2 linked regions of the Arabidopsis thaliana genome follow. The protein of the gene in region 1 interacts with the protein of each later gene in a pairwise test. Each region holds a gene or a part of one and is shown on either strand. Other genes may lie near its edges. The genes, in order: AT4G15470 and PUP8.

Region 1 (4,958 bases):
AAATAAAAAAAATATGATCATGAAAACAGTTGTAGATCCATCGACAAAGGGAATAGTTAGTGTAGAGCCTCCGTTCCTCGTCGCTGGTCGATGAACCATACCACCACCTCTTCCGATCCCATGCCCACCTTCTTCTTCTCCATGTCCGCCACCGCCTCCACCAGCATGGCCTCCTCCTTCAACAGCATGACCACCTCCTCCACTAGCATGGCCTCCTCCTACACTAGCATGACCACCTCCTCCACTAGCATGGCCTCCTCCTACACTAGCATGAGCACCTCCGACACTAACATGGACTCCACCTCCACCGTGAGCGCCTCCACCACCGCCTTTGGCAACCACGGTGGTACAATTGACTAAAAGTAAAGTGATAATTAGAAGGACGGCGAGTTTCGCTGCATAATTGGTAACAAAGTGTGCTCGAGTCTTCGTGATTTTCATGCTGGTAATATCAAACATACACCTTTATCAAAACAAACAAGTTCTATATCAAAATTCAAAACATAAACATATATGCGTAGTTGCGTACACTATCTTTGATTCTTAAATTGCTGTTTGCTACCTTAAAACGGAAAAGAGGAATTTGTTATCGTGGGGTGAGATGCTTTAGAAAAGCCTCTATTGTATATATGTGTAGGCAATATTCAAGATTTTTTTGATTCTTTTACTTTTTGTTGTGTTTAGGATAAGTTGTGAGTAATTCTAAAAAATACTCTTTGTATTTATTTTTCCTCAAAATATGGATTTAGATATTGTGTATAATTATCATTACCCTAATTAATGGAAAAGTAAGTTTCACAAAACCTTTGTAGGTTATCATTACCCTAATTAATTATCATTATATTTTTGTAGGTTATAAAATCCATAACAATTATTGTAGCATGTAGCAAAAATGAAAACGAAAAGCATGATATATCATTAGAAAAAAAATATAATTACCATATGCTGGAATTGGTATATTTAGAGTTTGATGGGAAAGTTTAACCTAATCAATTCGTCAATTCAAAATTCAATATAGATTACATTGGTGCTAAAGTTTTAACACGTGTTGCTTCATATATAACTTACTATGTTTAAGATGGTAAAAATTTATAATGTTTACAAACACATGCTTTCTCAATTATTCTATACTTCATAGACGAGACTAGCATTTTGAGATTAGACAAAAGTATCTTATTATATAAAATTTGGTTTCTTAAAGTTACGATTAGACGTGTTTTCCTATTTTTATTTGAATTGGATTTGATTATTTTTTTCATTATTTAATATATTTCTATTTTCACAAAAATTCCATGAAATGATTATTCTGTTTCTCTTTGAAATTAGTTTTTTTTTCACCAAAAAAGAAAAATTTGAAATTAGTTTACTTTTTAATATTAATCATATTTTCAAAATTTATTTATTTATTTCTTAAGTATGTTAACAATTTAACGATAAAGTCATATCATATCTACGACATAATTAAATAAAAATTGGAACTGCAACTAATACAAAACTTACCAAAATAATAAGAAAATGTGCATGCATGATTGCATGTGATGTGTGTATATAAAACACTATTTACTGGTGCGTTATTGTGAATCCATGTCCTAACTTTTATATTTTGTTTGTATAAATTTTTTAAATTTAATTTGTAAATTTTTGGAAATCTTATTATTTGGGTTTCAATAAAATTTTAACTTACTTTTTAAATTTGACTTTCATATATCTCATTGCTTTCCAATCAAAATTTGTCACATGTTTTTAGTTATTTGACGAAGAAAGAATTGATCGAGTATAACCCTAACCCAAATTGTTATTCATTTAATTTATTCTAACTGGTTTAAATGTTAAATAAATTATGGGATGAATTGTTTGGAATAATCCATGTTCATCAAATTTAAATTAATTGACCAATTTATACATAAATTTCTACTTCACAAATAAAAAAGAGTTAAATATGTCTACCCATGAACACAGAAATATGTTTCCTCAAAATAATTAACAGACTTTTTCTCTATTGGTCTTTCATATAAAGCTAACACTAACAGCGTTTTAGACATGAATAATACAACGCGTTATCGTAACAAATCATGTCCGTTCATGTTGCCACGTGTACATCATATTGTTAGATTAGAGGGAAATGACTCGTCGCCTTCGTCAACACAGAATATATAAATCTCAAAATTCTATAATTCGATATTTTTTCCCAGAATCAACCAGATCTGCTTTCGAAGACGAATCTAGCTATTAGCCATGGACAAACCGTACGGATACGCGAGCGTGAGCATGAGCGGCATAGATCGTTCCGCCGGAAAGGATATTGATCTTGAGATGGGAGTCGGAGAAGCGACGCTTTATCCTGGGCTAAGTTACGGCGAGAATCAGCTCCGATGGGGATTTATTCGTAAGGTCTATGGGATTCTCTCAGCTCAGCTTCTTCTTACGACGCTTATCTCCGCCGTCGTTGTTCTTAATCCTCCTGTTAACGATCTCTTGACCGGATCTCCTGGGATTCTTCTCTTCCTCTGCATCGTTCCCTTCATCTGTACGTAGATCTCGTTCTTTGGATAAGATTTTCATTTCATCTTCGTAGTTTTTCGTTGATTTGATCTGGTAATTAGGAATTCTTATGGTTAGGTCAACCTGATTCTGATTTGTGCATTTATGTCCCTTATGTTTATGCATTTCTTTTCCATTTCTCTTCATGGATTGAGTTTCTTCTCGTAACTAGATTTATATCCTTTACTGTGTTTATTATACATTTGATTGTTTAGGTATATATATGGAGGATGGATTGAACAATGTTTTATATGATGATTGACAGATTGATGCTTGGTGTGATGATATCTAGTGTGTTGGTGTTAGGATTCAGAATTGACTTTACTTGATCTTTCACTGAAACATAGAACAAAGAACAGACCAGAAACCTAAGGAGTAATTCTGGAGAATCCCTTACCCTCCTGAGCCCAAACCGACCAAAATCTTGACAACTCACAAATCTGTTATATTTCCTATTGATCCTTTTTCTTCCCTCTAACTATCTCGTCATGTAACAGCCTTGTTCTCTTTTTTCTATTGATCGTTTTTCTTTTGTCACCTTAGGGAGAATTTTCAGATAGCTTGTTCTCTATGAGTTTTGCTTTGTTGACCTCTCATTTGATGTTGGTTTACTTGCTTCAGTACTTAGTTTTGAATTTGTTAGTACTGAGTACCTTGATTTTGTGTTGCACAGTCGTACATCAGCTATTTATTTTATGTCATATTTGTTGACAAGATTTATTGCTCATGTGATTGATTACTGGGAGTTCAATTTTGTAGTAATCTGGCCTCTGCACATTTACCACCAGAAGCATCCTGTTAACCTGATCCTCCTTGCCCTCTTCACTGTTTCATTGAGTTTCACTGTTGGTGTCAGTTGTGCTATGACAGAAGGTTGTTATCTCGTTCCCTTTCATATCATCTGATTCTAACCAATAATATGTGATTTGGTTGCTGTTCCAGCCGCTTCTTAACTCACCTTATTGTCACAAAGAACAAAATTTGCCTGAAACTTGGAATAGCAAAGCCTGTAAAAGTTGTGTGTTTACTAACAATCTATTGTTCTTTCTTCTACGTGTTTTACCAGGACGAATTGTGCTACAAGCCTTGATATTGACTCTGTCTGTGGTCGGATCTCTAACCGCATACACTTTCTGGGCTGCAAAGAAGGGAAAAGACTTCAGCTTCCTTGGACCCATTCTCTTCACCAGCCTCATCATTCTTGTAGTGACCAGCTTCATCCAGGTTTGCCTCTCAGAATCCTCCCTCCTCACCTATATCACCAAACACCCAATAGTTCCACACATACATAAAACAAAGCCTTAAATTTGGTTTGCTGTCGTAATATTGCAGATGTTCTTCCCTCTTGGCCCGACTTCTGTTGCCGTATACGGAGGATTCAGTGCCTTGGTATTCTGCGGATACATAGTCTATGATACCGACAACCTCATCAAGCGTTTCACATATGACGAATACATCCTAGCATCAGTAGCTCTCTACTTGGACATCCTCAATCTCTTCTTGACCATATTGCGTATACTGAGGCAAGGCGACAACTGAAAGGCATAAAACGATGCTTCAGTGATGTGATCCAGTTTATAACTATAAGAGAATCCAAAAGCCTTTATGTGTGTATATCTGATTTCTGTTTGGAGAATTAAGTATATGATGCTATGTGGTTAAACGATTGATATAAACAAAATCAAGCAATGTCGATTTTCAACTTCAAATAAATTTGTTAATTTTGGCGGAATTTTGATGCCTTTTGTCGTATCCATTTCGATATTCTGATTGCTTAAGAGCAAAAGCAAACATTGATACCAAACGTTTGAAGATTTATTTACCATCATCGATAAATTGTTTTTACTTTGCTCTCCTTTTTTTTTAAACTCAACCATACACAAAAAAAGCGACCTCATCTTACCCACCGATCCGCCATTACAGACGAAGAAGAATTTCAACTGCAATCTCTCTCTGAACCATGAGAGGTCACGATCGGATTAACAATTGTTTGCCGGAGGAACTTATCCTCGAGATATTCCGGCGACTTGAATCGAAACCGAATCGCGACGCATGCTCCCTCGTCTGCAAGCGATGGTTATCTCTCGAGCGATTTAGCCGCACCACGCTTCGTATCGGCGCTTCGTTTTCTCCCGACGACTTCATCTCCCTCCTATCTCGTCGCTTTCTCTATATTACCTCTATCCATGTCGACGAACGTATCTCCGTCTCCCTTCCTTCCCTCTCTCCTTCCCCAGTATGTTTCTCTCATCGAAATTTTTCTGTTGAATTTGTGATCGGATCGAGCAGTTTTTGTGTAGTATCATGAATTCGATTGAAATGTTAAATTTTGTATCGATCTGGATTTGAGCTTAGTTGAGATTAGCGTTATTTGATTCTGAATTGTATTTGGATATTTGAGTTATGGTTTACACTTA
Region 2 (4,357 bases), 1.2 Mb from region 1:
TACTACGCTAAGGAATATTTTTGGCTAAATAATAAAAGAAATATGACAAGAAAAAACTGGTTGGTAATAAAAATTTAAATTTGGTTCGTGTTTAACGGTTGATAATACTGGTTGGTAAGTTTGATACTTTTGTCTATAGATAACTTGCTAGTACCCTAAGGATTTGTTTTGGCTAAATATAAAATATGGCAAGAAAATTCTGGTTGGTAATAAAATTTGGTTCGTTTAAAGATAGGATCCTACAAAAATGGAGGAGATGATTCATTCCAAGAGTGCCATTTAACAATTCACGGGAAATGGTTAGTAGGACAAATTATAACGATATATGTAGTACTTATAATTTTAAAAACTGAAATCTTAATGTAAACTAATACTAACTTTATTTATTAAAGAATAATATATGCATACGCATTTGCCTGTTATATAAGTAAGCAACACCATCTTTATTTGTTCCCTGACATATTTCTCCTTCAGGTTTCTATGATGGAACTAGAATCAGAAACTCAAGAACTCCATCTTCACGTAAATGGCGGTAAGTATTGTAACAGAAATTCCGGCGTAGAGATTCTTGTGTTCTTCTTCTTTTACTTATGTTCTTGTTCTGTTTCATGTGTTGATGGTAGAACCTGAAGGGAAATTTTCAACAGAAGAGAGAAGTCACAAGTACTCTTGGAGGTTAAGAGTGTCTCTCTATGTCACTCTCCTCTTAGCTGGAGAGACAATAGCCACTCTCTTAGGTAGACTTTACTACGAAAAAGGCGGTAAAAGCACATGGCTCGAAACCTTGGTTCAGCTTGTAGGGTTTCCTTTAACCCTTCCTTGCTATTATTACTTAAAGCCTGAGCCGTCCAAGACTAAAACCATTACCAAAAAAACTACTTCTTCCTTCTTGACACTATCTTTAGTGTATATTGGACTTGGCTTGCTTGTTGCTGGACATTGTATTTTGTACTCATTTGGGCTACTTTACCTTCCTGTCTCAACTTTCTCTTTGATCTCTGCGTCGCAATTGGCTTTTAACGCCGTCTTCTCTTACTTCCTAAACTCACAAAAAATCACACCATTTATACTCAATTCACTTGTTCTCTTAACCATATCTTCTACACTTCTTGTTATCCAACATGAACCAGAATCTCCCTCTTCTACTTCAAAGTCCGCAGCCAAGTCCAAGTATGTGATTGGATACATCTGCGCGGTCGGTAGCTCAGCTGGTTATTCTCTGGTGCTTTCTTTAACAGATTACGCGTTCGAAAAGATTCTAAAGAAATACACATTCAAGGCTATTTTAGACATGGCCACATATCCGTCTATGGTAGCTACTTGTGTAGTTGTGGTAGGACTTTTTGGAAGTGGTGGGTGGAAAAAGCTGAGTACAGAAATGGAAGAGTTTCAACTAGGGAAAAGCTCATACATTTTGATAAACATCGGTTCAACGATATCATGGCAAGCTTGTTTGATTGGAAGTGTTGGTTTGATTATCGAAGTTTCATCGCTTTTTTCCAATGTCATAAGCACTCTTTGTTTACCAGTTGTGCCTGTTCTTGCTGTTGTCTTCTTCCGTGATGAGATGAGTGGAATCAAGTTGGTTGCAATGTTTTTGGCCATCTGGGGATTTGTTTCTTATGGTTATCAGCATTATGTCAATGATAGAAAGCCAGAAGAAGACCAAGAGCTTCCTCAGTCTAAAGAAGAAGAAGAACAAAAACAAGTAGATACCATTCATGTCCAAGCTTAGGCAAAGATCCAAGAAAACCAAAAGCTTTTGTAATTTGAACCAGTTTAATCTAAAATAAAAATGAGTTATATATATTGTAGGCACTACAAATAAAATTGGTAAGTGTCTCAAGGTCTCACAGTCTTCATGTATCTTTGTTGACTTCTGAATCCAAGTCAAGTGTACTTATGGCCTTCCCGTCTTGTTGTATCGTTGTTGACTTCCAAATCCACAAAATAGATTACTAACATAACAAAAACAAGTAATAATTTTTTTTTTTCAAGTGGACGGACACTTGAGCCAATAAGATTAGAATAAGATACAACAATATCAAGCGTCTATATATCTGTTTTCACCAAACTCAGCCTACTTTAACAACGTTGTGTATAAGAAGTTTTCTTAAAACCGCCAATTAAAAGGTTTCAATAATTCAAAGTCAACGGTAAACATCTTTACAGAAATATGATGCACTTGTTCCCACCAACCTTCATATATATAAAAGCTTTACCAAAACTCTGTTTGTGGGAAGTCCTCTTAGAGTGGTCATGGAAATAACTCAAGTAATCTATGTCAATGGTAAGCAAGATGCATCTCGTAGTGTAGATTACTTGATTCTTTTCGCTAACCTGTTGTTTTTGATGTTTTCAGATCATAACAACATAGAAGCAAACCTAACAGGTCAGGAGGAAATGAATACCACCATGGAAATCGAATCTTCGTCCGTACCTCAATCGAAGAACTATAAGAAATGGCTTCGTATTTCCATTTACGTGTTCTTTGTCCTTGCTTGCCAAGCACTTTCTACAATTTTGGGCAGAGTTTACTATGAAAATGGTGGGAAGAGTACATGGATGGGAACACTTGTCCAACTAATCGGCTTCCCTGTTCTGTTTCTCTTCCGCTTCTTTTCCCAAACCAAAAATCCCAAACCAACAGAAGCAGATTTCAGAAAGTTCTCTTCCTTCACCATTCTTGGATCAGTTTACATCGTTACTGGACTATTAGTGTCTGCTAACTCTTATATGTCCTCTGTTGGTTTACTATACTTACCAGTTTCTACTTTCTCCCTCATCTTGGCCTCACAATTGGCCTTCACTGCCTTCTTCTCATATTTTCTAAACTCGCAGAAGTTCACACCTTTCATTGTGAATTCTCTGTTTCTCCTTACTATTTCCTCTGCCCTCCTCGTGGTCAACACTGATTCGGAAAACACAGCAAAAGTGTCTAGAGTAAAATATGTGATAGGGATAATATGTACCATTGGTGCTTCTGCTGGGATTGGATTGCTGCTATCCCTGGTACAACTGATCCTCAGGAAGGTTTTAAAGAAGCAAACATTCTCAACGGTCACTGACTTGGTCGCTTACCAATCTCTAGTTGCAAGCTGTGTGGTTCTCATAGGACTTTTCGCAAGCGGGGAGTGGAAAACTTTAACAAGTGAGATGGAAAACTACAAACTGGGGAAAGTGCCATACGTTATGACTTTGGCCTCGATAGCTATTTCCTGGCAAGTCTACACCATTGGCGTCGTGGGACTGATCTTTGAGTCATCTTCTGTGTTCTCCAATTCCATAACTGCTGTGGGATTGCCTATAGTTCCAGTTGTAGCAGTGATTGTTTTCCATGATAAAATGAACGCGTCAAAGATCTTCTCCATCATTTTAGCTATCTGGGGATTCATTTCATTTGTCTATCAGCACTACCTCGACGAAAAGAAGTTGAAGACTAGCCACACAAGTCCTGTAGGAGATCCTCATCTACTACCTGCTGAGGAAGGTCACACAAACATACATAGTGTATGATCAAAACATATTTCCAGTGTAAAGCCAATGTATCTTTGTACAGTTTGAGCATAGATATAAAAACGTGTATCTCTAGTCAATCATAAGTAACTGATAAGTTTTGTACATAAGATACCAATAGTTCGGATCTTTTTTACTTCTATATACCGGAGATACCCATAACTTAAAGATGCAAATGCAATACTCTGCTTTGTCATTTTGCAATGCATTTGAATCACCAAAAAACAAGAGCAAACATCGATAGCAGAGAGGCAAATAGGCTAAAGCATCCTTGGAAAACCAGAGCTTTGAACAAAAAAAAAGAAACAAGTGAACAAAAATAATACCCACTTACCTGGAAGCCACTGACATAACAAATAACCAATGTAGTGACTTGAACAGTGCCTTGTAAAAAGACTCCTTAAAATACCAAAAACGTATACTCCAGGAGCTTGGATTCTTGTATCTTTGTTGACTTCTGATTAAACGTCAGTAGACACTGAGAAAATAAAAAAAATTCTCGTAGAGCCGCCATTCAAAAGTTTCAAGAATTCCACAAGTCAAGTGTAAGCAAATAAGAAAAGTCACCGGTCAACATGAGACTACTAAATAATGATACTGCTACTGTCATCTATCGCCTGCCCCATCCATATAATACGATTTACTAAAAGCCTGCCATGTTTGATAATGCAACTTGTGTAGGGTATTTAGATGTTTTTTTGTAATACCATCAATGTGTGTTTAAAGAAAGGCCTCTTGTGTATCTGCACGACATCTCAAACAAAACCAATCAATAAAAACAAGAAACAATCTTCTTTCTCATGGACAGATCTCAAGAACACTATGCCAATGGTAAGAAGAA

Evidence for each region.
Region 2: the proteins of AT4G15470 (region 1) and PUP8 interact in a protein complementation assay, tested with the Arabidopsis thaliana proteins (one large-scale study listed by BioGRID).

Annotation. Positions count from the first base shown.
Region 1 is NC_003075.7:8,841,426-8,846,383, forward strand, and holds AT4G15470 (Bax inhibitor-1 family protein), read left to right. Parts: upstream 1-2,093; 5' UTR 2,094-2,235; coding exon 2,236-2,527; intron 2,528-3,300; coding exon 3,301-3,414; intron 3,415-3,607; coding exon 3,608-3,765; intron 3,766-3,873; coding exon 3,874-4,080; 3' UTR 4,081-4,385; downstream 4,386-4,958. Other genes in the region: AT4G15460 (glycine-rich protein), read right to left, coding at 1-459; AT4G15475 (F-box/RNI-like superfamily protein), read left to right, coding at 4,502-4,777.
Region 2 is NC_003075.7:10,067,459-10,071,815, forward strand, and holds PUP8 (purine permease 8), read left to right. Parts: upstream 1-1,999; 5' UTR 2,000-2,259; coding exon 2,260-2,290; intron 2,291-2,362; coding exon 2,363-3,516; 3' UTR 3,517-3,657; downstream 3,658-4,357. Other genes in the region: PUP6 (purine permease 6), read left to right, coding at 481-532, 624-1,735; PUP7 (purine permease 7), read left to right, coding at 4,317-4,347.